Tamandua tetradactyla: one gene and its partners. The protein of the gene in region 2 purifies or fractionates together with the protein of the main gene of each other region. This does not show direct contact. Links are inferred from orthologs where the notes say so. Each region holds a gene or a part of one and is shown on either strand. Other genes may lie near its edges. The genes, in order: RNF187, YAP1, PATJ and PHGDH.

Evidence for each region.
Region 1: the proteins of YAP1 (region 2) and RNF187 purify together in Homo sapiens (affinity purification with western blotting; 3 studies listed by BioGRID, with this or other methods). This does not show direct contact. The link is inferred for Tamandua tetradactyla from reciprocal best matches to the Homo sapiens genes YAP1 and RNF187.
Region 3: the proteins of YAP1 (region 2) and PATJ purify together in Homo sapiens (affinity purification with mass spectrometry; 7 studies listed by BioGRID and IntAct, with this or other methods). This does not show direct contact. The link is inferred for Tamandua tetradactyla from reciprocal best matches to the Homo sapiens genes YAP1 and PATJ.
Region 4: the proteins of YAP1 (region 2) and PHGDH purify together in Homo sapiens (affinity purification with mass spectrometry, with the first as the bait; 4 studies listed by BioGRID). This does not show direct contact. The link is inferred for Tamandua tetradactyla from reciprocal best matches to the Homo sapiens genes YAP1 and PHGDH.

The regions. Positions count from the first base shown.
Region 1 is NC_135346.1:62,360,736-62,368,005, reverse strand, and holds the start of RNF187 (E3 ubiquitin-protein ligase RNF187), read left to right. Parts: upstream 1-4,262; coding exon 4,263-4,376; intron 4,377-7,270.
Region 2 is NC_135334.1:40,798,974-40,805,824, reverse strand, and holds the start of YAP1 (transcriptional coactivator YAP1), read left to right. Parts: upstream 1-3,845; 5' UTR 3,846-3,995; coding exon 3,996-4,316; intron 4,317-6,851. UniProt on the Homo sapiens protein: Transcriptional regulator with dual roles as a coactivator and corepressor. Critical downstream regulatory target in the Hippo signaling pathway, crucial for organ size control and tumor suppression by restricting proliferation and promoting apoptosis.
Region 3 is NC_135328.1:158,446,777-158,454,487, reverse strand, and holds the start of PATJ (inaD-like protein), read left to right. Parts: upstream 1-4,705; 5' UTR 4,706-4,814; intron 4,815-7,711.
Region 4 is NC_135337.1:989,837-997,149, reverse strand, and holds the start of PHGDH (D-3-phosphoglycerate dehydrogenase), read left to right. Parts: upstream 1-4,301; 5' UTR 4,302-4,466; coding exon 4,467-4,604; intron 4,605-7,313. UniProt on the Homo sapiens protein: Catalyzes the reversible oxidation of 3-phospho-D-glycerate to 3-phosphonooxypyruvate, the first step of the phosphorylated L-serine biosynthesis pathway.

The DNA of each region.
Region 1 (7,270 bases), on a different chromosome or scaffold from region 2:
TCCAACCCTAAAACTTTACTAAGTCTGGATTTGCTCTGTTGTTTGACATTTTCTTCTCTTTCTTTCTCCCTTCCTTCCTTTCTTTCTCCCTTTCTTTCTTTCTTTTCTTGTGGTCTGTCCCCACAAAATTGGATTAAGATTAAAAGAACATGGCTTTTCTGGAGTATATAACAGTTTCAAACCAGCACACTTGCCATTCTGATTATGTCTTATCTTTCTTAATTTAGGTTTATTGGCTTTTTTTCCATAAGTAAAAAAGCACTGGAAACACAGTCAACAAAACTTGACTTGATTTCCGGTTATAATAATACACTTCGAGCTGCACTAACTTTGTCATTAAAAATGGAGTGCCACCTCCTTAGGTGACTAGGAAGATTGAAAGGAATCCCATGTGTGTGGAAACTGTCTGCAGTGATAAAGCACTGTACGTATCAGGGCACTGTTATCTGGTAACAAACATTTTTGTAAACAGAATATTCATCTCAGACATCTGTGGTAAAGACTCTGTGACTGAGGGAACTTGAGTATCAGGCAGGACATAGTTAAATCACAGGACCATCTGCATAATCTGCTGAGCTCAGTGCAGAATGAAAATGTGGGGGGCTTTTGTTCTAAGACCATTAAGAATCTCAAGATAATGTTAGGAGGGTATTAAAGCAACATGGACCCTTCTCAGTGCAGGGCCCTAAGAAGCTGCACAGATCCTGGCTCTGCATGCCCCTTAGCCAGCAGACCTTATTAAGGATGAATGCTTTCCATGGGTTTGTGCACTGACAGTTCCTTCACCCCTGCCCTGCCCTGCCCCTGTCATTTTTAAAAGCTGGGTCCTTTTGATTGGGTCTATGCTGAGATTTCTTGGCTTACTTCTGCTTTAGTGAAGGTTTGAAGCAAAACTTAGAGTGAAATTTTCCAAGAATGAGTTTGGGGGAAGATATTGTCTTTTCGATGAAGGGACTAAGATTTAAGAATTGTTCTGCCTGAACCTAGTGGCTGATTAGTTTCAGAAAACCAGGATAACAATCTCATGGGTTGTCTTGGGACCATAGCCAATGTGATATTGGCAGATGAAACATTATAGGGTAAACTTGAACTTTCCTCAAAGAAAATAAGAAAAGGGAAAGAAAGAAGGCAGGAAGAAAGAAAAAAAGGGGGGGGAATGAAAGGAGGAAGTGAGGGGAAGGAGGAGAGAGAGAGAGAGAGAGAGAGAGAGAGAGAGAGAGAGAGAGAGAGAGAGAGAGAGCGCGAGAGAGAGAGAGAGAGAGAGAGAGAGAGAGAGAGAGAGAGAGAGAGAGAGAAAGGAAGGAAGGAATAAAGAAAGGAAGGAAGGGGAAAAAAGGAAGGAAGGAAGGGAGAAAGAAAGAAAAGAAAAGGTCAAACAACAAAACAAATCAAACAACAGAACAAATCCAGACTTAGTAAAGAGAGACTATATTCAAGAGGATTATTGCAAAGTGGGAAAGAGATTATTAAAATAGAGGAGAACTATCACAATAGGGAGAATGCTCTGATCATAACATAGTAGGCTAAAACGAGTTTTCTTTTATAGGGAGAAAAGAACCAGGTATAAGAAGTGGGATGAAGGTTGGCATAATCAAATAGTAGATCTGAGAATATTTTATGCTGAAGCAGCCTATTTTCTGGGAGGGACCATTAAAGTTCAAGAGGGAAGGAGAGAAATTTAAGCAATGTTTGGTTAATAAGTATTTTGTTGCAATTGATTAGCAGGGAACCAGCAGTCCAGCTAATTATTGATGAGGCAAAGGAAGGGAATGTGGAGGGTCTGTGTCCAGCCTTGTCATAGGTAAACAAGGGGACATTCTGAGTCTTATCTAAGTCATATGGGGGAAGGGTGTTTTTTTTTTTCACGTTGTCCTTGTTGTTTTTGGTAAAAAAAAAGTTTTCCAGAATACAAAGGATGGTGGAATTTCTTAAACTTTGCTCCTTTCCAGAAATAAAGGCCTTGAGTAAGGTTCAACATTGCCAAACAGAAAAGGAGAGAAAGGGAAGGGAAGGGGAGGGGTAGAAAGGGGAGGAGAAGAGGGGAGGAAAGGGGAGGGAAGGGGGGGGGAACAATGGCTTCCAGTCTAGCCAGTAAGACAGACAGGCTTGCTTGAGAGTAAATGGTCTGGAAGACCAATTTTGAAAGGAGTTTTGCTGATAAAAATCATAGACACCTACTTTTCTTTTTTAATGGTTCCATAGTCCAGTGCCTGGTGTTAATGCTGATTCAATAAATGTGTTGAATGAATAATGCATGCAGGAAATGAACAAATGTTATCATCCAGGATATTTGTGCAGTGAAGGGGTACAGCCTCCGAACACGTGGAATAGGCCATGACTTCTTCCCACCCTCAACCAAGAGAAAACCACTTTAAAATTCTCACAAGCATACGTACATGGCACCTTGAAAGCATTGCAATGGCAAACAAATGGCAGATGGGTTTTACCTTCCAAGAGAGTGCTGATTTTGTACTGCAATACCTAAAGTAAAACATGCTAAACATATCTAGAGTCTGCCCAGAGGGTTCTCTTCGAGTCAGCCACCGCAAATATAGAAAGGGCATGTTTAAAGGCTTACTAAGAGTTTTAACATTTCGGGGTTTAAGAGCTGAAAGAAGGCTGATGGACCACATTACATGGGATGCTGTGGCATTTTGCATAGAACATGTGAAATACACTAAATGTATGCTCACATCCTCCCGAAAAAGGTCGAAGTGTTTCTAAGCTAGTCAGCGGAAGGTCACCAGGGAGATGTGTTGCAGAAAACTGGCCTTCCCAGCTTCAGTTAGGCTTCTCCAGGGACATCCCCAAGTTGTCCGAGTTTGGGGGCTGAGCCCTCCTCTCTCCTAAAGGCAAGGCTTTCTGCTGGGAAGAAATGCGGGGCTGGGGGTGGGAGCTCCTCAACTGAGAGGGGGCAGGGCAGAACTGGACAAAGGCACAGTGCTTGTTCAGAAAAGCCCACATTCTGGTCAAAGAAGGGTCACACTGGGGCCGTTTCAAGGGTTCTCCTGTCCTGGGCCTTTTCGCATGAGCCGTGATCGCAAGAAATTGCTTCTGGGCCTATTGACATTTTATTTTGATAAGTCGGTAATAAGCGCTGCGATCAAATTCAAGCTGCAGGTGTGAATAAAGGACAGCAAGTAATATAGAAGGGCAAAAAAACAAATTTGTGAAAAAGTGAGCAAAATAACGAATACTCGAGCCTGCGAAATGCGCAAACTCGAGTGTCAATCTCAGAACGTTAGGCAGAGATTAATGACTTCATAGAAGCTAAATTCTTCCCGATTTTGGTCTTTGGCATCGGCAAGCACACTCACAGGTGCATGCACTCTTAGGGCTAAATTATCCTTTCCTGGGATTTTCCCCGCTGCATGTGATGGATTACAGGTGCATTCAAAGCAGCGATCTAGTGTCTGGAGAAAGGTTCTCCTCCCTCCTGAACTGACATCAGGGTCACTGGTTTCCTCCGCTAACCTCGCAAAGCCGCTTCTGGCTCAAAAGTTTTTCAGAGGAAGCGCCCCCCACCCCCCCGCAACCTTATATATTTCTCTTACTTCGTATCCATAATAGTTATTAAAATAATTTAAGGGTTGTTGAAAGTGAATTTAGAGGCTTCACACAGTATTTGGAAGAGATATGGATACTAGTCAACACATATCACGAAACTTGAAGCGTCTATGAAAAGAATTCCTATATTTTCAGGATATTTTAGGTTTTTCAGGAGAGAAGAAGACAGCCCTTGAAGAGAGGGCGGCGGGTGCGCACAGCAGCCTGCCCAGGCACCCACCGGGGGCAGACATCACCACAGGCCAGCCCCTGCCTCCCCCAAGGCATCGCATGATTACTAGAGAATCACGATGATATGCAAGGACATGGAAGAAAACATGAAGGCACGGACGTGAATGAAATACAAATAAATGAACAACTAAGGGGAAAGGAGCGAAGGCGGTCAAAAAAAAAAAGGAGGAGGAATCGGAGTCGGGAGGATTGAATTTCGAGCCAATCAAGATCGGCCTATTTGGGTACATGCAGGAGACGCCTCCTGCTCCGCGGGCCTCTGCAGGTAGCGTGGGTGGCGCCGCTGTCCCGAGCATCCTGCATCCTGGCGCTCCCACCTCCCTGAGCCCCCAGACTCCCGTGCGCTTCGGCTCCGCAAGCCCGGCCGCCGTCCCGGGTGCCCATCCCAAGACGTCACCCGAGACCCAAAGCCGAGCCCGGCCCGGCGCGGTTCCTCGTATGCGCCCTCACCGCTAGGCGCCCGCATGCCGGAGAACACATGTCCCGGGATCCGCTTCCGCGGGAGGGGGCTGGAGCTGGCGACCCGGGCCCCAGGACTAGAAATCACCGCCCTTTCAGACCCCCACTGTCTTTGGTTGGTACTTTAGAATTTGGGGACAGGTGGAGCTTTTCCAACACGTTCTGTCTGGTTTCCGATTTGAAATTCCAGATTCCTGAATGAATTGCCCTAACTAGTTCACCTTTGGGCCTCCAGGTCCTTCCCCTGACGGAGGAGGTCTTGGTCTGCCTTTGTCCACTACCCTAAAAGATTAGCTGGATTCCTGATTAGACACACTCGGCCTGCTCTTTGTCTACTATACATATATGTTTTAATCTGTAGTGTCAGATTTTGTGCCGTGTCTTCCAGAGTCACCTCTACAGAAGAATTTTCACAATATTTCATACGCCAGAACAAATTCTAGCATTTAGTTAAAAAAATCTCTTTAAACAAGTAACAAATTCCTGTCATTTCTCGCGTATAGGAATAGGCTCAATGAGTTATTTTGCAGCAGGGCTGGGACTACAGTGTGGAGCTGGGGTGGTGTGTTTGGTTTTATATTTTAAACTTTATGCATCTGCCCACAAGTACCTGAGTCAGTCCAAACGTGTATGCAAACTACACATTTTATTGGTCAGTTAGCTCCTGATATAAGGAGGAAATTTAAGGAACTGGCCTCTGGGTCAGAAGCCCCTATGATCTCATAAACACTGCTTTTCTGTTTTTAATAAAAAGGACGGGGCTGCAGAGGAAGGTAAGGTAAGGTAAGGAAAGACAGGGACAGAGCTCAGCTCACAGTGTTTGCTGTGCATGGCCAACAGCTGCCTTGGGGCCACTTGGGGAAGAAGCCAGCCCGATCCTGCTACAAGTGTGGAAAGATGGAGGGTTGGAAATACAAGTGTCCTCAGGGATACCAAGAGCCCCTGGGGCCTTGCCTTAGGTGTAGGAAAGCCGGACACTGGGCCCAGGGGTGCACTGAGTCCCAGAGGGAAATAGAGACCCTCCTGAAAGCTTTTGTGACTGCTCCCAAGCAAGATTGAGGAGGCCTGGGCCACTAGTGGCTCCCTGGACTTCACTGAAAAACATCAATTGCGATGAGTCTTGAGTGACCTTCAATGTGGCAGGTAAGGCAATTGATTTTTTTTAATTGATATTGGAGCCACTTATTCTGGTTTGACCGGTTACTCAGCCCCAATGTCCCCGTGAGTCTGTCCTATTGTAAAAGCCAAAGTCTAAAGCCAAAACCGTCACCCAGCCCCTTCTTTGTCAAATTGGCAGCATAATTTTGAATCATCAGTTCTTGGTGGTACCAGCGTGTCCTAGCCCACTTCTAGGAAGAGACTTGCAATGGGCATCGGGTGCACAAATCCGGCTAATAGGCTGCTGGCCTACCCAATGTCTTAAGGATGCTTCAGAGGTGTCTGTAACTGTATGTCCAGCTTTAGCTGGATCCAGAAACCCAGACAGTCTCACCCTGAACTGGCTAATGAAGTCAGTCCAGTGGTATGGGAAACAGAAATATCCAGAAACGCTACTCACATCTCTCCGATCCTAATCAATTGACAGGATCAACCCTTTCCCAAGAGAAAGCAGTACCCTCTTAAAACTGAAGATATAATGGGTATCTAACCCCTTACCCAGAAGTTCCTGAAAACTGGCCTTCTAGTCACTTGTCAGTCTCCCTGTGATACCCTACCCTGCCTGTCAAAAAGCCACATGGGACGTATGAGTTGGTACAGGACCTCAGACCTGTGAATAGCTTTGCCATTCCCCCTTCATCCTCTAGTTTCCAACCCTTATACTCTTCTTAACAAAATTCCTATCTCTGCCCTAAGATACTTAGTACTCGATTTAAAATATGCCTTCTTCTGTATGTCTTTAGACCCAAACTCCCAATTTTTGTCTGCCTCTGAACGGCAGGGTTACTGGTTTGAAGATGTTATATACCCCAGAAAAGCCATGTTCTCTTTCCTAATCCAATCTTGTGGGGGCAGACCTACCACTTAGGGTGGAAAGTTTGATTGGATTATTTTCGTAGAGATGTGCTGTGCTCAGTTGGGGTGTGACTTTTCTTTTTGTGGTGTGACATTTTGATTAGGTTGTTTCCATGGAGATGTGACACACAAGTGTGGCTCGGATTTTTTTATTAGGTGGAGATGTGATTTCACCCACTCAAAGTTAGTCTTTTTTTTTTAATTGCTAATTATTTTTTGTTTATTTATTCAGTGAAATTTTTAAACAATTTTTATTATGAAATATAACATATATACAAAAAAGCAATAAATATTCAAAGTACATTGTAACAAATAGTTGTAGACCAAATTTTAGTTTGGTATGGGTTTCTGTTCCACAATTTTATGTTTTTCCTTCTAGCTGCTCCAAGAAACTGGAGACTAAAAAAATATAAATATCATGATTCAGCAGTGATACTCATTTGTTAAGTCCTACCTTCTCTGTATAACTCCACCATCACCTTTAATCTTTCTCCCACTCTTTAGGGGTATTTGGGCTATGCCCATTCTAACTTTTTCATGTTGGAAGGGGGTATTGGTAGTATAGGAAAGGGAGATGGAACTAGTTAATGTTCTGGAGAGGCTGACCCCTCTGCATTTCAGACTCGCATGGTCTGAGTACTCATCTGGAGGTTGTAGATTTCTTGCAAGTTACCCTAGTGCATGGAACCTTTGTAGAACCTTATATAATGGCGAAGGTGTTCTTTAGGATTGGCAGGAATGGCTTTGGTTGGGGGGTTGGCAAGTTATTACAGGTAGCAATGTTTAACTGAAGTGTGCATAAGAGTGACCTCCAGAGTAGCCTCTCGATTCTATTTGAACTCTCTCAGCCACTGATACCTTATTTGAAACACTTCTTTCCCCACTTTTGGTCAGAATGGCATTGTTGATCCCACGGTACCAGGGCCAGACATCCCTGGGAATCATCTCCCACACTGCAGGGAGAATTTCACCCATAAATGTTGTGTCCCTTGTAGGAGGG
Region 2 (6,851 bases):
CTTGGACGTTGAAGTGGAAAAGACTGATAATTGGATTAATCCAGCTTAGTAGATCCTGCTCATTGAAAACATGAGGCAATGGAATTGAGAGCATAGATATTTATGAGAGGTTGAAGCAATGGATTATTATCTCTAAACGAATAGAAAAGGAAGTGAAAACAGGAGAGAGTGATAGATTGGGAGAAAGGAGAGAAGTCATTGTAAATGCAGTGTGAGTAATGAAACAAGATCATTTGGATATTAAGAGAATGATATATCCTCCCTACATGGGACATGACATCCAGGGGTGTCTCCCTGGTAACATGGGATTTCACTCCCAGGGATGAGCCTGGCCCTGGCACAGTGGGATTGACAATGCCTTCCTGACCAAAAGGGGGGAAAGAATTGTGACAAATAAGGTATCAGTAACTAGAGAGTTCAAATAGAGTCGAGAGGAGGCTATTTTTACACAAGCTTCAGCTAGATATTGCTGTTTACCATGGTTTGCCAACCCCCAACCAAAACTATTCCTGCCAATCCTAAAGAACACCTAGGGCTCTATCTGAGATTCTACAAAGGTTCTGTGCACTATAATTACTTTCAGAAACCTACAACTTCTAGATGGGGTCCTGAAACTCAGAGGGGCCAGCCTCTCCAGAACATCAAGTAATTCCACCCCCCATCCCATATTATCAATAGCCCTTTCCAACATGAAAGAGTTAGAATGAGCACAGTCCAAATACCCTTAAAGATTGGGAGAAAGATCAAAGGAGAAGGTGGAGTTATAACAGAGAATATAGGAATTGTCTAATGAGTATTACTGTTGAATTATATTGATACTTCTTTTAGTCTCCAGTATCTGGAGCAACTATAAGGAAAAACCTGAAACTGTGGAACTATAATCCATGCCAAACTCTGAATTTGTTCTTTAATTGTTGGGGTGTGCTTTGAAATTTATTGCTTTTTTTGTATATAGGTTATTTTTCACAATTAAGAAAAGAGTTTGATTTCAAGACTGAGTTATTTTGGGATGATGTTAGGGTGCAGACACAGGAGAAGGTGGCTGAAGTGGGGTGGAGGTGAGGATTCAGTGGAGTTGAGAGGTCAAGTAATTCTAAGAGTAGTGTTTTGAGAGGATAACCTACATGGACGTTGGAAATTATCCTGGTAAGTCTTTATATGAAGAAGGTGTCTCTCCATTTTAAGGTTCGTAAACTGGTAATTATTCCAAAAGGGGATGGAGAGAGGGGACAATGTGTTGAATACATGTTATTTTTATCCCTTTCTAACCTGATTGAAATTTTATAGGTGAGGAATACCAAGTTAAAAAATCCTGGTTGATGGTACAAAGGTACTTAGAGAACATAAAATCACTCCAAACAACTTTCCAATCCACTTATCCAAGTAATTTTGTCACAATTTCAATGGCAGGTGAAACAATATTGAACAAAGCAACCTCTGCTGTACCTATCCTAAGCCCTTTAATTGTAGTGTTCACAGTAGTAGATGCTGTAGTTAAGGGACAGCTTCCATTACAATTTCAGATTTTCAATCACTTTACTTCTTAAAATATTTTCATTCAAAGTTTTAAATGCATAGTTTCTACCCAAATGATCTATGGATGGATGGTTGAATGTGAGAGGAATGGTCTGCCAAGATCCCAGCAAGGACAGCTAATAACGCTGTGCTTAGAGAGGGACCCTTACTCCTCTCTAAAGAAGAGGCCATATCATGGAGTGTGTGTGTGTGTGTGTGTGTGTGTGTGTGTATGTGTGTGTGTGTGTGTGTGTGAGAGAGAGAGAGAGAGAGAGAGAGAGAGAGAGAGAAAGAGAGAGAGAGAGAGAGAGAGAGAGAGAGAAGTAATGTATGAACATGTGACAGTGTTAATAGCTGACATTATTCATCATACACTAAACACTGGGCTAAGCACTTTATCCCCATTGACTCATTTAATACTCCAACAACCTATGAGGTAGGTATTATTATCCTTCTCCTCCCCAGTTTTAAAGATGAGGAAATAGTAACTTGTCTAATGTCTCAGCTAGTAATGGTGTAATTGGGACCTGAAGCCAAATATCTATAACTCCATAACCCACAAACTTGTGATTAAATGCACCTGACATTTGGAGAGGGGGTAAAATCCAAGAAGGGGTCGTGGGCATCATTTATGCTGGGATTCTTCTTCAGATGGGAAATTGGGGTCCAGAGCACTTGATTAACATAGGGCATTAGAAGCTTGGCAGTCTGAAATATCATCCTCTGGCACGGCTCCACCACCAGATCCCTCAGAATTTCTGTGGGCACATCCTGGAGGAAGAGATTATCTTTTTTTTGTCAAGGGCTCTTTCCTTGTTTATACATCTTTCTTTGTTTCACTAGCATTGCAGATAAAATCATGAAAAGCAGCAGCCAGATTTCTTTAGAAAGGGTAGTAGATTTAAAGAGTGATGTTGCACAACCCTGTGAGTAAACTAAAAAAAAAACATTGATTTATATGGACTGAATTGTATGGTATGTGAATTATATCTCAAGCTGTTTCTTAAAAAATGAAGAGTGGTAGTACAAATTGAAAACAAATTTTGATTGCTCCTGGGTGCTTTCAAGTGACTTCCAGGCATATATGGCACTGCCATATTGAGGACCAGTGGTGTACTCCTGGCCCATTCATTTCTCATTCAGTCAACATCCACCGAATCCTGCATTGTACCAGCAACAGTGATAAAAAGGGGTAGACTCCCACCCCCTCTAGGATGAAAGAAAGGCAGGTACACCGAGGAAAGTTTGTAACCAAAGGTAGCACTGATTTTTCGCTTTGAGGTTTTCAGTGACTATGTTGCAAGTTTGAGTGCTACAATAGTTGATGTCACTTAAAAACACAATGAAACTCGTGTACTTTAATTCACCGGACAGGATGAGAGGCAGGCAGTCACAATGCCCCGAAGTATCTAAACACTGCAATCATATATCCCTTTCTAGTGGATACTCACATGCTAAAAGCTGAGTGAAAAAATACCAAATCCAACTTAGTGTTAAAAAACAGATTTTTATTAAAAGCGGCGCTTGCTACTGGTATCTGTTTTAACTCCAACCTATTCTTGCGGCTTTAACCCAGAATTGGCAGTACTGGTGGGGTTAAATCGAGCTAACGCGGGGCGGGTTTAAATGGATTTCCACGTTCTATACCAACTTTTTTCGGCCTTCCATTTCGTATCTCCAGGCAAGAGGAAGCAGCTTTTTCCCGAGGACTGCGGGGCGGGCCGCGTTCTCCAGAGAGACCAACCACAGTTCGGATCCAGGAGGGCCCAGTGTTTCCATCCGGCCGGCAGCCCTCTGCGTCCCGGCTTCTGCCCCTGGATACACAGCGGAGGACCAGACTGAGGGCAAATTAGTCACGTGCGGCCGGGAGTTTGCAGGAATGTAGTAACTTGCAGGAATGTAGTAACTTGCAGGGGAAAGTTTCCCTCCGCGGCTGGTCGCGGATTCGGCGCGGGCGGGCGCGCAGAGGAAGGAAGAGCCGGGAGGAGGCGGAGCCGGCGAGTGGCTCGGGCGGGCAGTTCTCTCAACTTTAGTTTTGGCGTCTGAGCCGAGTTTCTGTCTCAGTCGGGCGCAGTCGCCGCCGGGGAAAAGAAAGGGAGGAAGGAAGGAACAAGAAAAGGAAATAAAAGAGAAAGGGGGAGGGGATAAGCAGCTAGCTGTTCGGCCTCCGTCAAGGGAGGTGAAGGAAAAAAAAGTTCTCAGGCGCCGCAGGTCCGGGTCCTTCTCAGCCCCTCCCGAAGCGCAGCCGCCAGACCAGTGCAGCCGGGGCGCAGGGCGGGGGCGGAGGCGCCGGGCGGGGGATGCGGGGCCGCCGCGCAGCCCCCCGGCCCTGAGAACGAGGAGAGCGCCGCTCCCGACGCCCAGCGCCGCCCGGCCCGCAGCTCTTGCCGCTTCTCGCGTCTCGGCCCGTCGAGCCGGGGCGTCCGGGCGGAGCCCTCGTCCGCCGGGTTAGGGGGTGTGCGTCGGGGGAGGCAGAAGCTATGGATCCCGGGCAGCAGCCGCCGTCTCAGCCGGCCCCCCAGGGCCAAGGGCAGCCGCCCGCGCAGACCCCCCAGGGGCAGGGACCGCAGCCGGGGCCCGGGCAGCCGGCGCCCCCGGGGTCCCAGGCGGCGCCGCAGGCCCCTCCCGCTGGGCACCAGATCGTGCACGTCCGGGGGGACTCAGAGACCGATCTGGAGGCGCTCTTCAACGCCGTCATGAACCCCAAGACAGCCAACGTGCCCCAAACCGTACCCATGAGGCTCCGAAAACTGCCCGACTCCTTTTTCAAGCCGCCGGAGCCCAAATCCCACTCCCGACAGGTAACCTAGCCGCCTCTCCCCACATCCCCGTCGGGCGGGCCCCAGGCCTGGGCCGGGGTCGGGGGATCGGGATCGTAGCCCGGGCCGGGGCGAGGGTGTTCCGGGGTGTCTGTCGGGGGCTAGGGGGACTCTCCCCGGTGAGGTGTGCCAACTCCAGGCGCCCGCGCGGCCGCCGTTACCGAGTCCGGGAGTCGGGGGCCGAGATTTGTTTTTCCCCTTGGAGTTTCTCTCTGCGGCTGCAGCCCCGGGGAGTGTGCTTTTCCCCTTCTTCCTTTCTTTCTTTCTTCCCGGGGTTCCCAGGAGGTTGGCGGGAGTGGAGGGGGAGGTGGGGAGGAAGGAAGGGGGTGGGGAGAATCGCCGCCCGGGCCGCGGTGGGCTTGCACAATGCGCGCGCCTCCGCGCGCTCCGCACCTTCGCTCCCGCCGCGCCTGGGGAGGGGGAGGGGGGCCTCTGGCATTTGTGTGTGGGTGAGTTGCCAGCGGCGGCCGAGTTTGTGAAGTTGAGCCCTGGGCCCCCTTTCCTTTGGGCCTCCTGGTTCACTTCAGTCTCCTGGGGAGTCAAATAATTGTTCTCTTGTTTTCCAGTGTTGATTAGAGGGTGGGGGTTGAACCAGTCCATTTAGTTTCTTGCTCTTTTTCCCCCTCCCCCGGCCGAAGGCATTTATTTCCCTCACTGCCCCGGAGGTTTTAGAATACAGGATCCGGGCTTCCCCTGCCCAGGCTTTCCTGGAAGTTGTTTATGGAGTTAGATCTTTCACCCCTGGCTTCCCTTGAGACCTGGAACTCGGGCAGGCCCTCTCTTATTAAACCTAGTAGGTTCACGTGTTGGTTTCCTAGTTGTAAACTATTTACATTCTGCTGAAATGCTTTTAAATTAGCCACATCTGCACGTTACCCAGGCACTGAGTTGCGCATTACCCGTCTCGAGGTTTTAACACAGCCTTAAATAATACTCTGCAGGTTGACTCATAGGCAGAGTCCTGCCTAGTTCAACTGTGATTAAAAGTTAATGTTTGGGAAGCTATGACTAATTCTAGGATCGCCATTGCTTTCTGTTTTTTTTTTTTTTTAAGTTTTTATTTTTATTGCCATTGCTTTTTAGTTCTTGAGGATGTGAACATGGCTGCTTTCCCACCTAGACAACGTTCGATTATTTTGTCAACTTGATTTAATATTGAAGTGAAATTATTTTATTTTGACAGTGTTAACGTTCCGATACGTCTCAGATTTATTTGTGGAGATTTTATTTTTTTTAAGAACTTGCTTCAGGCTAAACTTCAGCATAGAAACTTTGTCCAAAAGTTAATTGGTTTTCCAAATACTGCACTGTAGTTAGTCCACTCGGGCTGTAACTTGAGTGGAAAGAAGAGTTACGCCCCCATTTTCCTTCCCTCTCCTGTTTGCAGGCCTGTTATATATTCTCTTGCGGCAGACTTAAGAGATTTTGGAACTCAGAAAAGTTCACTCAACCTGCTGACAAAAACCGGGGTTAAGGACGAGGAAGGAAAAACAATTTATCTGCTTGCATAAATACTCAATTTGTAAGAGGTAGTGGACTCAAGTAAACTTTTTTCTCTCACACCTGCAAATTGGCATCTGGACTCATGGGTAAATGCATGTTGGCATGCATCCTACAGAGCACACAGCTATGCTGCTGGTTACTTAATAAGTTTTGAAAGCATAATACACTAAAAGTAAAAAAAATTTCAACTGAAAAGTATACTTATTCTTCTAAAAATATTTACACAAGAACTTATACCCATCAGTTTGTGGATAATAGTATTTACCTGGCAGATTCCTACTATTTATAATCTATAGTTTTGTTTGTTTTTAAAAATTTCTGAACTGTTGTGCATCTGTAAGTTTAACTTTTATTTTTTCTTGGAAACTTGACTCTAGTTTTAAGGTATAAATGATTTTGCAGATTCCTCCCAGTCTCCCTTCTTTGCCTTTATGAATTTAGGTAGTTGAGACTTTTTAATAATCAAACCCTCTTTCTAATCAGTGGATTTTAAACAACTACTAAATTATGAATAGATTGAACCTGAGCTGTAAATACTCTTGTCCACAAACTACTTAATGTAAATTCTTGTGTATATTTCATTTATTACCACATTTTTCCATCATGAAAAAAACCGTTTTACAAATAGAGAAAACTGAGGTTTGCAGGTTAAGACATTGTTCATTGTCATACAGTCAGCAAGTTAGAGTAGCTTGGACTGGAACCCAGCTATTTAGGGGTCAGAGTGCAGAAAAGTTTTTGCTATTACACGGTTATAAATATGTAAGTGTGTTAGCTCTTAAGTTATATAAGAAATAGTTAAACTGTTAGTATCTTTGTCATGTAGGTAAAAAGATGTGGTTGGTTTTTCATTTCATTCATTAAGATAGCTTTAAAAAGACAACTTTGGGGTGGTTCTGGATCTTTTTGCATTCTTTAAAAGTTGTATAACTTGTGATGATTACTTTATTGATGGCATTTGTTTATAGTGAGTATAAATGACATTTGACATGGTTTAAGATTTGGCCTAGAAAA
Region 3 (7,711 bases), on a different chromosome or scaffold from region 2:
ATTGGCTGGAATGGTCCTGGTTAGGGGTTGGCAGGTCATGATAGGTAGCAAGGTCTAACTGAAGCTTGAATAAGAGCAATCTCCAGAGTAGCTTCTTGACTCAATTTGAATTCTCTCTGCCAATTCTTATGGGTTTTTAAAAATTTTTATTCTTGTAAGATATATACAACCTAAAATATCCACTTTTAACCACTATTCAAATATATACTTCAGTGGTGTTAATTACATTTAAAATATTGTGCTACCCTTACCGCCATCCATTACCAAAACTTTTTCATCAACCAAAATGAAACTCTGTAGCAATTAAGCATTAACTCCACATTTCTTGTTCCCACTTCTGCTGCTGGTAACCGACATTCTAGTTTCTGACTCTATGAATTTGTTTATTTTAATTATGTCTTATCAGTGAGATCATATATTTTTGTATCTGGCTTATTTCACTCAACATGATGTCGTCAAGCTTCATCCATGTTGTCACATTTGTCAGAACCTTATTCTTTCTTATGAGCAAATAACATTCTATTGCATGTATGTTTATCCATTCATTTGTTCATGGACATTTGGGTTCTTTTCATCTTTTGGCTATTGTGAATAATGCCTCCATAAACATCGGTGTGCAAATATCTGTTCAAGTTCCTACTTTCAATTCCTTTGGGTATATTCCTAGAAATGGGATTGCCAAGTCCTATGGTAACTCTAACTTTCTGAGGAACCCACCAAACTGTTTTCTATAGCAGATGTACCATTTTACATTCCTGCCACAATGAAGGCAAGTTCCTACTTCTCCACATCCTCTTCAACACTTATTTTCTTTTTTTTTTTTAATAGTAGCCATTCTAGTGGGTTTGAAACAAATCAGAAACCTCACTGTGGTTCTGATTTGTATTTCCCTAATGACTCAATGATATTGAGCATCTTTTCGAGTGCTTATTGGCTATTACATATCTTCTTTGGAAAAATGTCAATTTAGGCCTTTTGCCCCTTTTTAAATTGGGTTGTTTCACTTTTTATTGTTGAGTTGGAAGATTTCTGTATATATTCTGGTATTAAGCCTTTATCAGATTTCCAAATGTTTTCTCCCATTCTGTAGCTTCTCTTTTTACTTACATGTGAAGTCCTTTGATGCACAAGTTTTTCATTTTGATGAAGCCCATTTATTTCATGTTTGTTTTGCTGCCCATATTTTTGGTGTAAAGCCTAAGAACCCATTGCCTAACACAATGTCCTGAAGATATTTCCTCATGTTTTCTTCTAGGAATTTAATAGTTTTAGTACCTAGGTTTTTCATCCATTTTGAGTATATTTTTGTATATGGCATGTGGTAAGGTTCCACCTTCATTCTTTTGCATATGGATATCCAGTAGTCCCAGCACCATTTGCTGAAGAGACTATTCTTTACTGATTGAATGGACATGGCATCATTGTCAAAGATCAGCTGGCCATAGATGTGAGGATTTATTTCTGAACTCTCAGTTTGATTCCATATGTCTGTCCTTGTGCCAGTAACATGCTGTTTTGATTATTGTAGCTTTCAGTAAGTTTTAAAATAGGGTATGTGAGTCCTTCAACTCCATTCTTCTGCTTAAGATGGTTTTGGCTATTTGAGGCCTCTTACCCTTCTATATAATTTTGATGATTGGCCTTTCCATTTCTGTAAAGAATGTTGTTGGAATTTTGATTGAACTTACGTTGAATCTGTAAATTGTTTTGAGTAGAATTGATATGCTAACAATATTAAGGCTTCCAAACCACGAACACGGAATGTCCTTCCATTTATTTAGGTCTTCTTTGATTTCTTTTAGCAATGCTTTGTGGGAAATTCACATTCAGCAACATGAAAATTAAATGAAATGTGAGGGAGATAGATGTTTGTTGTGTGGACAGGAAGGCCACCTATTTTTCACAATAGGTGAGACTGAGTCTAGGCCTGGAGGAAGTGTAGGGCTTACAGGAAATTCTAGGCAAGGAGAAGAGGATGAGTAACCAACACTAAAGTCATGGTGTAGTACAGTGCATGGATTCTGAGCGGACCAGTTTGTTCAGAGTAAAATCCTGAAGAAGTGAATTGGGAGATAGGTCAGCAAGAGAGGGAGAGTTTGTAAGACCTTGAATACTAAGAGAAAGAATACTTTGTTTCAAGGTACATTCAAAGTTACCTATGGTTTGTATTTTTTTTTTTTTTTTACTTTTTTAATTGTGAAATATGACATTATATATAAAAAGCAATAACCTATGACTTTTTTGATTGAGGGGTAATATGTTCATAATGTTGATCATCAGCTGTTAGAGTAGAAAGAGACCCAATATTTGCAAATTGTTTGAGATAATGGGTCACTATCTCCTGACTAGGAAGCATTTCTTTCTACCCTTTAAGACTGATTTAAGTCTTGATTCTTTCAACAAGCATAATAGATATCTCTCTTTTCTGAAGTTTCTGGCTTCATTCTTTTTGATAATTTATTGCATAAGATTATTCTCAGTTATTAGTTCCTTAAAAGCAGGGGCCTATGCCCTTGATCCTGAGGCTTATTTTTGTGAAGTTTATGTGGGTAGCGGAGAAGCTTAGACTGCCTATAGGCATGCTTAAAAGTTACTTCTGGAGGACCTCTGTTGTGCTCAGATGTGGCCTCAGTCTCTCTAAGTACAAATCTGCAAGTGAAATCATTGACATCCCCCCTACATGGGACATGACATCCAGGGGTGAAAGTCTTCCTGGTGACATGGGAGATGACTCCCAGGGATGAATCCGGCCCTGGCACCATGGGATCAACAATTCCATCCTGACCCAAAGGGGCAAAAAGAAGTGTAATAATAAAGTATCAGTGGCTGAGAGAGTTCAAATAGAGTCGAGAGGCTACTCTGGAGGTTGCTCTTATGCAAGCTTCAGTTAGACATTGCTCCTATCATAACCTGCCAAATCCCAATCAGGACCATTACAGCCAATCCTAAAGAACACCTAGGGCAATAAATAAGATTCCACAAGGGGTCTATGCACTCCAGATGGGTCTCTGGTGCAGATAAGTCCTGAAACCTAGAGGGTCAACCTTTCTAGAACATAAGATAGTTCCATCGCCCTACCCTGTATTAGTGACAGCCCCTTCCAACATGAAAAATTTAGAATACCATACCCCAAACACCCCTAAAGAGAGGGATGGAAAGATCAAAGGTGATGGTGAAATTATACAGAGAAGATAGGATTTAACAAATGAATATGATTGCTGAATCATTAAATTGATGTCTCTAGTATCTCAGAGCAGCTAGAAATAAAAACCTAAAATTGTGGAATTGTAACTCATGTCAAACTCTAAAATATGTTCTACAACTAATTGTAGTGCTGTGCTTTGAAATGTATAGCTGTTTTGTATATACGCTATATTTCACAAAAAAAAGAAGGAAAAAAAGTCGATTGTGATGATAAAAAAAATATTTAAGCCCTCTAGCCTCTTATACTCAGGAGCAGCAAGAAGGAAATAAAATACGAGAGGATTGTATGGCAGCCCATGACAAACTCTGGAATCTGTCTTGTAACTACTTGTTGAAGAGTGCTTTGAAAACAATTGCTTTTTTATTTCTTTGCTTTGTATATATGTTCTACCACACAATAAAAAAGTTGAAAAAAAACAGGGGTCACGCTAACATTGTGTATTTCTACCAGGCCTAACAAGTGGTATTTCCTTTAAAAACACACGCAAAATATAGTGTGTCAAGTGCATGATCTTACAACAAATGTCCTTTTGTTGTAGATATTTCTTAAATATGCTTCATCTTTCTTGAAGACGGATCCCATTATATACATCTCCCCACAGAGCCTATCACTATGCTTAATGAATACTGCATTTCTTCGATGAATGAGATACCTGAAGATGGATCGTTTTTCTTTAATTGTGGACTGTAATTAGATGAAGTAAAATGCCTATCATAAAACTACTAAATTTAATTACATTAGAGTGGAATAATGCTATTATGGGGTTTGCATAGATCTTTCTCAAACTGAGGTTATGATATCAAGAAAAAATGTATAATGAAGTCAGCACCGAACTTAGGTGACCCGGTCTGGGTCCCCAGAGTTGGGCCAATCAGTTAACCTATCCCATTTGTGGTTTCTTCAGAGCAAGTGAGATATTGTGGAAGCTAGCACCCGGCATAGGGTAAGGGCTACCATTGATTCAGTATTTCCCTCCTTCAACTAAATGAGAAGACTACAAACCACACCTTTTGTTCCCCCATAGCTATACATCTTGGACTATTTTACATTGAATCAAGGGACTGCAGAAAACGTAAGGACAGGTTGAGATAAGAGGACAGAAAGAGGGAAAAGGGAAAACAAAAGGCTAAGTAGATTTGACCAAATCATTTCACCAATGTCCTCTTTTAATTTCCTTTCAAATCGGGTTTTGCTCTCTGCCCAGTTCCCATACATCTGTCTGGCCACATTCCCCATACCTTTCGTGCTGGCTGCCATGCTACTCGGTGTCTCATCTCCACCCTGCACCCCAAACCCCACTTTTCAAGGGTCAGTTAAAGTCTCTTTAACCCCCCCCCATTCCCAGCCGAATTTCACCTAGAGACAGTAGTGCAGCCGACTGTCCTCCGACCCCCGCGCCCTCCTGGGAGCCGGCCTCCCGGTGCCCCACTCTCCCAATCCCGCCCCACCCACGGCACCCCAGCGCCCCGCCCCAGGCGGGGAGGATCGATGCGAGGGGCGGGCCTGCCAGGTGAGGCGCGGCCACCCTGGGCCGCTCACTTCCGCCCAGGTGAGCGACTGACGCCAATCCCGTCCGGCCTGGCCTTCCACCCAGGTCTCCGTGGACCAGGTAAAGCGTGGGGGTTTCTTCTGCGAGGGCGCGCACAGCGCCGCGGATCCCCGCGCCTCGAGGCGGGCCAGGAACAGCCCCTTTCTCGCGTCCCTCGCCTGCCTGCCCTGCCCCCGGCGTATCTGCCGTTCGCTCAGAGGGGGTGGGGACAGGACACGGAGGGCGCCGCCGCGGCACTAGGCCAGGGCCGCGGAGGGTGAGGGGTGCTCGCGGCGAGCGCCAGCGCTGGCTCTGGTGGCGGGGCGGGGGCGTCTGCCCCCCTGCGGGCTCGGCGTGACCTTCCCCGGGTCTCCCACACTCCGTGCGGGACTCTTCCAAGGCACCGTTCGCTGACCTGCCCAGTCTCGGCAGGCCCTGCCGGACCTGAAATCAGCGCCGGGTTCTGTTCTGGGAGTGGCACGGATCATATTTTCTACCTAGATAGGTGCCTGCCTATTCTTCGCCCCAAGAGCTGGGCGGAGTCTTTACCTCAGGCCGTGGCTGTGGTAGGAGTGAACAAGTGGTGCCCGGTTGGAGGGTGGGGGGACCGGGAAGGAGAGGGTGCCCGTGCCCGCGCTTGGTGGTCACGTAGCAGACGTTGCCAGGCCAGCGGTCCCGCCTGGGCTCTGCTACCTTCGCTTCGTAGATGGGGCGGACGAAGGAGAAAAATGCTCTGGCCTTTGGGGGAAATTATGGAATTCTTCATTTAAGTCAAGCTCTAAAAAGCATTTCCAGATAAATCCTACCCCTTCTGGCACACCCACCAAAATCACCTAGCTGACTGAATTAATCTCCCTGTGGAGTGCTCCTTAGCACTTTGTCGGAGAGCCTTGTGGCTCTTATCGCTTTGAATTCAATTTAGTTGTTTACTATTTTTTCGCCACTATTGAGGGGGCGTTCCTTGTACGGCCTTATTTGTTTATCTGTTACAGTAGGGTTAGGCCTATTGGTAAGTGCACAAGTGTTTCTTAAATGAACGAAGTCTTCTGGAAACTAAAGGAAAAAAAATCTCAATTCCAACGAAGGTGACAAAACAACTGTATAGGTTAAACTCTTTTGACAGTCAAAATCATTTACACACATCCTTTTAAAAGAAAGCTAGGGAGGCCTGGAGGTGAAAATTTAAATTGGTTCATTTTGCAGCACCAGAAAATGTTAGGTGAGGTTGTTACATTCAGCTAAAATGTGTTGTTTAAGGCCTCTAATGGTATTTTTAAAGATTTTTAAAATTTTGTGATAATTAGAAGGTTAATAATTATCATAGCTGGAATGTATATTGTGGATAGCATTTATGAATTGAGATCTGAAGAGATTCGCCCTGGCTAGTTTACAGCCTATTAAGTGTCACATAAGATGGGGTTGGCATCAGCATCAGGATAATAGTCTTGTTCGAAGTTGAAGTTGTATTAAGCTCTCATTTGTGTTTAAAGATGACTTAAGTTCAAGTCATGTATTTATTACTTTTTTTACAATGTGAATATTTCTTCCTATCTATAAAACTTACGTATATTTATAGTAGAGAAATTGGGGAGAATTTTCAAAAAAGGAAGAAAGTACAAACCCTTTCACTCACCATTGAGAGTTAATAACATTATGGTATTTATTTTTTCAGTTAGTAGTCTTAAAATTAAGAAGAAGAAAATATTTTCCCATAGCGAATTTGCTTTTAGTGATTCTCAGTGGCTCAGCAGTTAGTAATCTTTGCAATTGCATTTTTACTTGAAAGTATTTAATAATTATCCTTAAGCCGAAAGCAAGCAGTCTGAACCTACTTGTACCACTTCCAAAGGTTTTGTTAAAGTTTAACAAAAATACATTAGGCTGGGGAAATCAAACTGGAGTTAAGACTTTGCTCACCTTTGTAGTAAAGTTTTTTGAAAAACCGAGGACTATTCCACCTAAATGTTTGAGATTGCTTGACCATAGCCATGTTTTTCTTATTCAAGGATTTTTGCGTATATCTGGATGCCTTTTTTTTTAAAGACCCCATTTTAGGTGGTGGTGGAAATGGAGAACAATTTAGTGCTTTTCAATGCCATTCCTTTAGACATTTCACGTTGATGCTGAAAATGTATCGTCCACCTGTATTTTATTTATACAGATGTGCAGTCTGTGGCATTTGGAGACATGGAGTTGAGTCCATTTATCATAAAACTCTTGGCAAGCCTTTAACTCGATAAAGCTCACTGAATACCTCACTGAGTTTTTGGGAGGTAGAAATGAAATAAAGTTCAAGAATATCTTGTAATTACAAGCCATTATTCTCCTCCACTGATGTTTAAAACTGGTCAAGTAGAATTGTAGGATTTTTGTTGGGAAGAACTGATAGTTACTTTGCTAAAAAGCAGAGAAAATGATAAGCAAGTTTGTTAAAATGTACCAAGGTATAGGTTAAAAGAGTCAATGCAGTAGCCTTTCCACATGTAGCTATTGGATACTTGAAATGGGGCTAGTTGGAATTGAAATACACCGTAAATGTAAAATACACACCAGATTTAGATGATTTAGTGTGAAAACCTAAAATATCATTAATTTTAAAGTATTATTTATGTATTGAAATGATAGTGGATTTATTGGGTTAATAAAATATATTTTTAAAATTAATTTTACTGTTTCTTCATCTTTTTCATGTGGCTATTGGAAAATTTAAACTTACATATGTGGTTCACATTATATTTCTATTGTACAGCAGTGGGTAAGAATGCAGAATGAGCATGTTTATTCTTAAGAAGGTTTAGTTTACTGAAGCACTTACCCTCCGGTTTACGGACTGATGTTTTTATTTATTTATTTATTTTTGCATGGGCAGGCACTGGGAATCGAACCCCGGTCTCTGGCATTGTAGGCGAGAACTCTGCCCGATGAGCTACTGTGGCCTACCCTATACTGTTGTTTTTGTCTCTAAGCTATACTTCCTT
Region 4 (7,313 bases), on a different chromosome or scaffold from region 2:
GTGATTTTTAGAACTATAATGAGGGCAAGTTCCCTAGAGGTTAAAGTTTACACTATTGTACATGTCAGGCGGGCCCATTTTGGTTAGACCCAGCTCCGTTTATCAAGATAACCTTGGAATTGGGGTGGGGTGGGGGTTAGTTAATGCTGGGCCGACTGGAGGCCTTTCATTAATAAACATTAGGGGCTGTCTCTAGTGAGCATAAGAGTCTAACCTTAAAAACCCGACGAAAAGGGTACAAGTGAGGGTCTGTCACATGCTTTTACAATCACAAGGACACGAGATAAAGGCTATACAATCATTATCAGAGATCAAGGCAATTGGATTAGAGTCCAGAGATTTCACGTATTTCCCTCTGTCTACTATACTAGAAAGTGAAAAAGAAATACCATATGACCATGTGGTAATCATAATTATCCCCTAAATTTTAACTTCTCGGATACAACTTGAATACCTAATAATATCCACACTTCATTTTTTTCTGGACACCTTTGCCAATGCATTCCCTTTTTTACTTAGGCCTGGTTAAATTGTGTTTCTGTTGCATCCAATAAAATCCAGACTATTCACAATGCCTGAACGATCTGCCCCTGCCAACCTCCCCCACGTCATCTCCTGTTTTATTACCATATTACAGGAGCTCTGACCTTCTGCTAGTTCCTAGAAGCCATGCTCTATCCTACCCACGGGACTTGATCTCTAACTGTTCCCTTCGCTCCAAATACTCTTCCAGATGTCCTTCAATTGGCTTTGTCTCCACCTTCGGGTCTCGGCTTAAGAGCGACCTTCTCAAAGAGACCTTCCTGACCAGCCAGGACAGAGACACTGCACCCCGGCTCACACGCTGCATTGCAAGGGCCCTGAGAGCAGAGAACTTGGGTCACTCGTCCAGCATTGCAATCCCTGTGTCCAGCAAGGCCTGGCTTATACTTAAGTGCTACATAAATATTTGCAGGCAAGTTCCTCGAATATTCCAGACAGATTCTGCTTTTCTCTCTACCTAGAAGTCTCTTTCCTTTGTTCTTTGCATAGTGAGATCTTTATTTCGGTCTCATCATCTCAAAAACGCCTTCTCTGATTATAAAGTCTAAAATAGATGCCTCTCCCCCCATCCCCCTATCCTCTGTATCACATTTGCCCGTTTTATATCCTTTTTTTTTTGGTGTTAAGTTTTTTTAATTGTGTTATATATACATAACATTTGCTATTCTAACCATTCTTAACTGGAAACTCAGCTTTATGTTCTTCATCATACTTTTATCCTGAGTATGATGTTCAGTCAGTTATTTATTTCCTATCCCCAATCAGAATATAAGCTCCATGAGAACAGAGACATGTGTTTGTCTTGTTCTAAGCTTTGTTTCCAGAATCCTCAGCACTGCCTGGCACATAACAGGATCTCAAAATACAAGTACTGATTGAATGCAATGAATGAACGATGAGTACCAGGCACTATAATACACTACACTTATTTGCATGCTTTGTCTCATTTAGTCTTAACAGCGAACTTCCGAAGTAAGCACTATCCTATTGTTAGTCCCATATTATACAGAAGGAAGCTCAGTCTTAGAGAGGCTATGTAATTTGTCTACGGTTACATTCCGGATTCGAGAATCTGGAATTAAAATTCAGACGTTTCTGTTTTGAGGCTGACAATCGTCTGCCTCTCAAAATGTCTGCTTTCTTACTGAAAATGCGAGTTTTAGAGATCACTGCCGGGCTCCATGTAGAAAAGGGGGTTCCTACTTCTCCTCCTCTCCCTATTACCCTTATCTTCACAGCTACAGGCAGAGCAGCTGAACAACTATGTCAGGTGCAGCGAGGTAGGGCCTGCTGCGGTGGGCAAGAGCCAAGAAGGGGAGGGATTGGGGACGAACAAACGACCTTTAGCTCAGGCGGGCTAATCACAAGAGTCTCTCTCTTCCCAGGGCGTTGGGGGGTAGGTCTGGGGGCCAGGGGAGGAGAAAGGAGTGAAAGTCTGGGGAGGACGGCTGAGCCATTTTTCCCAATACATCCAAGAGGGACAAAGTATTTGTTTTATGGATGCAGGCAGTAATGTAGGGAGGAGAAAATCTCCCCTGCTCTAATCCTGGAGGATAAGAGAAAAACATTCACCTTGCATTAGATGTTCCAGGCTGGTTGGGGGTGGAGCGGAGTGGGGGATTTATTATCTTCATTAGCAGTATCAGTATACAAGAAGTGTAAGTATGCATAATTGCTCAGCTCAGCCAGCACATGTAATCATTTCACTTCTTAAAAAAGTCACTCAGAGCCTGTGAACTGCCTTTAGCATTTCAACTCCTCAGGTAAGCAGGACCTGGCCCCTGACAGTCTTATCTCCTGCTCCCAGCCAGAGGAAAAGTCGCCATGAACCTCCGGCAATTCTTCCCATCTCTGGATGGTTGTAAATGTCATTCTTTCTTCTCTGTCTTCTGGCTCTTCCCATCCAGCTGCCTATTCAAGACGAGGCACTTGACCATGAGCTCGCTTTTTTTTTCATCCCCTGGAATTTGCTGGGTACGGGTCAGCTCAAAGGCAGCTTTGCTTGGAACTCCCTGGTGTCCTCAGGCTGTGCTGGGTGTTTTTCCTCCTCCCTCCCAAAGCCCTTCAGCACATCAATTTTAGATGTTAAATGTTGGTTTTCTCTCATTTTATGGAAAGAGTCTGTGTTTCATGTATCATCCTATCTCCAGTCTCAAACTACAATGCCTGGCATATAGTAGGTGGTCAAAAACTAACTTTCTTTGGGGGTGGAGGGGCATGGGCAGGCACCAGGAATCGAACTGGGTCTCCGCCTAAAGATCAGTTTTTGAATGAAACTCTCCTGAGCCTGTTACTAGGCACTGACCGAGTGGGAACATATTTAAAGCTATGTCTGATCTTAAGGAAATGAGAGTGGGAGGGGACAAGACAATGTACAAATGCATATTATACAAGGCACTGGGAGATAAGGAAGACAGTGCCTAGGAATTTAAAAAAAGGGAGGGACCATTTCTGATTTTTTATAGTAAAAATTATGACCCCTCCCCCTCTCCTTTCAATGTGGAAATTGTTTGACTCTTGTCTGTTAACTCTTCGCTTAATAGGTTCAGAAGCGCCTCTCACTGAACAACTTAAGTTCGTTTTAAAAGTAGGTGGGGCATAGATAATAGAGGGTCTCTGTGTGCAGGGTTGTTAGATAGTAGTAAAGAGGTTTGACTTGGTGGAAAGGGGTGGGATTGTACTTTAAGAGACAGCAGGGTTTAGATTCTGCACTGAAATGGGCATAGGGGATTCTGTAGGCATGAAAGAAAGTTACCCTGGAGGGAAGAGCTCCTAGGGCTGTTGGGCAGTTCCGGAGAAAACGAGAAAAGGAGAGAATACACTGGAGTGCTAGAAAGTGTGAACAACAAAATTTCTCAACAAATCAACAGGATAGACAAAATACTTTCCCACGGGGAGCATTTGGTCTAAAATCTGATATGGAACCCATTATCTAGGAATTATCCGTGCAAAAATGCTAACTCCATAGGATTAATACTGCAGTTTTATAGCATAAGGGTCTTGAAGTTCAGTTTTGTGAATGGTATAGAACAAGGGCACGCAATTGCTAACTACACTGTCTATAGAGCTGAATTCAAATCAAGCTGCTGAGCCTTCCTGATTCTGCTTGGTCCTGGGCAACCTTAAAAAAAAACCCCAAGAACACTGTGGTTGTGGGGTTTAAACAAAGTCCTAGGAAGTGCCGCCTTGGTCAGTACATAAACGAGGCCAGGCTGACATCTCATTTTCCTTTCCCTCTTTTTCATAATCAGAGGGGTAAGTGGAGGAAGAAGAGAAAATAAAAGGTGAACCAAAAATTCTGATTTAAAGTCCTTGATGTCTTTTAAACTCATAATTCTCACTGTACCGTTCATTTGAAATTAGAAACTTGCTGATCTGAGAGGTCTCAGGAACAGTTCCGCATTACTTTTTTACTGTGTAACCTGCCGTGAATGCGTGCTTGGTGCCCTTCGGTATTAAGCTGCCCAAGAAAAGGGGCTTCGTCTTTCTGACACTCCAGCCTCCTCCTGGACTCAGCACAGAACCTTGCCCACGATAAGTCTGCGCATACGCGCGCAGGAATTCATGAACGAGTCCTAAAGGGGGAAGAAGTAAAGTTCTTCTCTCAGGATCAGAACGAGGCTATAAATAAGGGTAAATTGTGTTTTGGGAAGAGCTTCGAGCGCGGCCGAGAAATCCGCGGTGGGAGAACAATGCAGCAGGCGGGTTGCTGGGAGGCTCCGAGCAGCGGGCGGGAGGCGGAGTCAGGGCGAGTTTGAACATTTCCGCCCAATCAAAAGGAGATGGTAGGAGCAGAAAGGGGATAAAGGGGCCCCGGGAGCCCGAGCAGCTTTTCGAGCGGCGCCGGCCCCCAGGTGGAGCGGTGTTTCTGGGTTTGAGGTCCCGCGCGCAGGGAGCAGCGGCTTCCGAGATCAGCCCCAGCCATGGCCTTTGCAAACGTACGGAAGGTGCTCATCAGCGACAGCCTGGATCCCTGCTGCCGGAAGATCCTGCAGGAGGGGGGGCTGCTGGTGGTGGAGAAGCAGAACCTGAGCCAGGAGGAGCTGATAGCCGAGCTGCAGGTCAGGCGGGTGGCAGAAAGGCGCGCGCTCCGGGCACCCTCCGCCGAGGACCGGCGGTAGCGCCCCCCCCCCACCATCCTCACCCCCGCCCCAGGGTCCCTTACCACCACCCCTCGCCCCGACTCAGTCAGTCGGGGGCCTCCAGAGGCTGGCCGGCGGCGGGCGGCGGGATGCAAACTTGTGCAGTTTTCAGCAGCGCGTCCCACGTGCGCGCCTCCCGCAGCAACGAGAAGCGCTGGCCCCGGATACCCGCGCGCCGCCTCCTCCCCCACCCCCCCGCCCGGGCCCCGACGCGCTCCCCCCGGGATCGGGGCTTGGCTCGCCCCACGGAAGCCCAGAACTTTCGCTGGGCGGCCCGGGGAGCGCTGGCGGCGCCCCAGCCTGACGCGTGGCTGCCGTGGGAGCTCCGCAGGGAAGGCGGCCTCGCTGGAGCAGCAAACGCTGCACCCGCCTTTCGTCTGATGCAAGACTGCGGCCGGCTTTCACCGCCCCCTCGGCCGCCCCAGGACGCCCAGAGGAAAGGGGGGGCGCCCACGAGGCGGTCCGGGCCACGGGGACTCCTCCTGACCCCCCCACCTCGCTGGCGGTCGGGACCCGCCGTGCCCGACTTGGAATGTGACCCCACACGCCCCCAGGCATGGATTTTTTTCTCCGAGCAACTCTTTCTCGGCAACTTATCTTCTTTTTGTTGTGATGCCTAATTAGCTTTATCTTCAAATCTTTATCTCCCTTGTTTGAAAAGCTCCTGCGAGATTGGGCGGCCTTGGCCCAATTTAGGGCATTTGTTTTGCGAACGTTTGCACCGCAGTTCCTGCGCCTCTTTCCGCTGCCCCGCACCCCGTGCCCTCCCGGGTATTCCCCTCCTGCTGCCTACCAGCTTCCGCACTCGTGCACCCCCTCTGCCATCCTTTCCTCCCAGGACCCCTTCAAAGAAACCGCCGAGGTAACAGCTGATGCTTTCTTTGCCTTCCAACCGCGTGGTCCTCCAAATTGCCTGTGCCCTTCCTGCTTGCTCTGGCACCTGCTGCTGTGTTGCCCCCTGGAATGCCCCTGCCCCCAGCCTATGGGGCTGCATCAGGTATCCAACTCCAGGCCTGGATCCGCAGTAAGATTCTGACGGGTCCCTTTCTACAAACAGCGCGCTGTTAGGGAGCGCCGCTACCCCTTGTGACACAATGGACATTGCACTTAAAGGCTACATGAGGCGGTACAGCAGCCTAGCCTTGGCCTGCTTGGAAAGTAGAGAAGCGGGTGACCATCGTGGGCTGGCGTGGCAGGCAGTGGCTCCAGGACTGAGCCTTGCTGTGGGTAGCCTCCAGCTTTCTGATGGAAGTTTGAAATCTTATACTTCCAGGGGAGGGATGGGGGGCAGGGAGGACAGAATTGAACACAAGATTGGGTGGTCTCACTGTAGTTGGGGGGTAGTCCATGGGGTGAGTCCTGGAAATCTGGAGCCAAAACTTGCAGAATGGTTTAAAAGCCTTACAGACTCTTGGCAGGAGGGGGCTGGGAGTGGGTTGTTGCCTGCAGTGACTTCTGGGCACTAGTGTGCCCTTTGGGAGAGCAGCTTTCATGTGTACCTTTGAGAGCATTTGGTTAAACTTCTCTTAGTCCACTGAAGGGCCCTTATTTCCACATTATGCTTTGCTCTGCGTGGAGAGGCATCTGGGATACTGCCTCCTGCCCCTCCTTGTTGGCATTGTTTTTTTTGAATACTGAAGGAATCATTAGCACTATTGCTAGGACTGGGATTGGTGCCAGTTCTCACTCGTTTGTATTCTGGGTAGGCAGTTTGCTCATTCTGTGCTCCGTGTTTAGGAAATATAATCATTCCTCCAGAATGGCGCTTTTCAAGCTTCAGCAAGCCACAGCTCATTAATGGATTCTGACCAGCGTTTGAAGAATGCTAGTAAGGCAGAGTGTTGTTTTATGAAATTTATTTCCATTATATGTGAGTATAAAAATGCAGCTTACAAAATGGATGTCTTACTGTGGGTCTCAGTTGAAAAATTTGGAAAACACTGATTTAGTATCTTGTTTGAAACACAACAAAGTAGACTGCTTACCCCGTTTCTATCAGTAGGTGCTGCATCTTAAATAAACCTATTATTTAGGAAAACATGTTTAAAATAATCTCATTATATTTCAGTAGCTTTTAAGCTTTGACCATGACCCGCCATGAGAAATTCATCCTACATCATAACGCAGTACAAACATACATATAGATTCTCAGATATATTTATATACGCACACCCACACACTAAAGTTCCCTGAAATAATGTTTATCCTTACTACATGCGATATTTTCTTCTGCTTCATTAAATAGCAAAGCTGGATAAAATCCACTTAATTAATCACAGGTGATGCATTTAACTTTTTGAAGCACATTGTTAACTTTATCTTAGAATTTCAGGAAAGATGAAGGTAGTAAATTTCCATGCAAGAATCCATCTTTTGAAAGGCACTTTTAAATGGCACGTTCCCAGCCTGCACTAACGTTTACTTTACAAAAGGTAAATCCGCAGCAGTTAATCAGGATCACACGTGTGCAAAATAGGACATGCCTGCGTTCTCCACAGCTGGCAAGCACGGCCAAGAGAGTTTCACTGACTTCCTCTATGATTTAATAGAATCAGTGGCCCGAGCCAGGGTTAGAATTACCCCAGGTCTAAGCCTGCCCTCCTTGGGGAAGGGAGCATGTGAGAACTT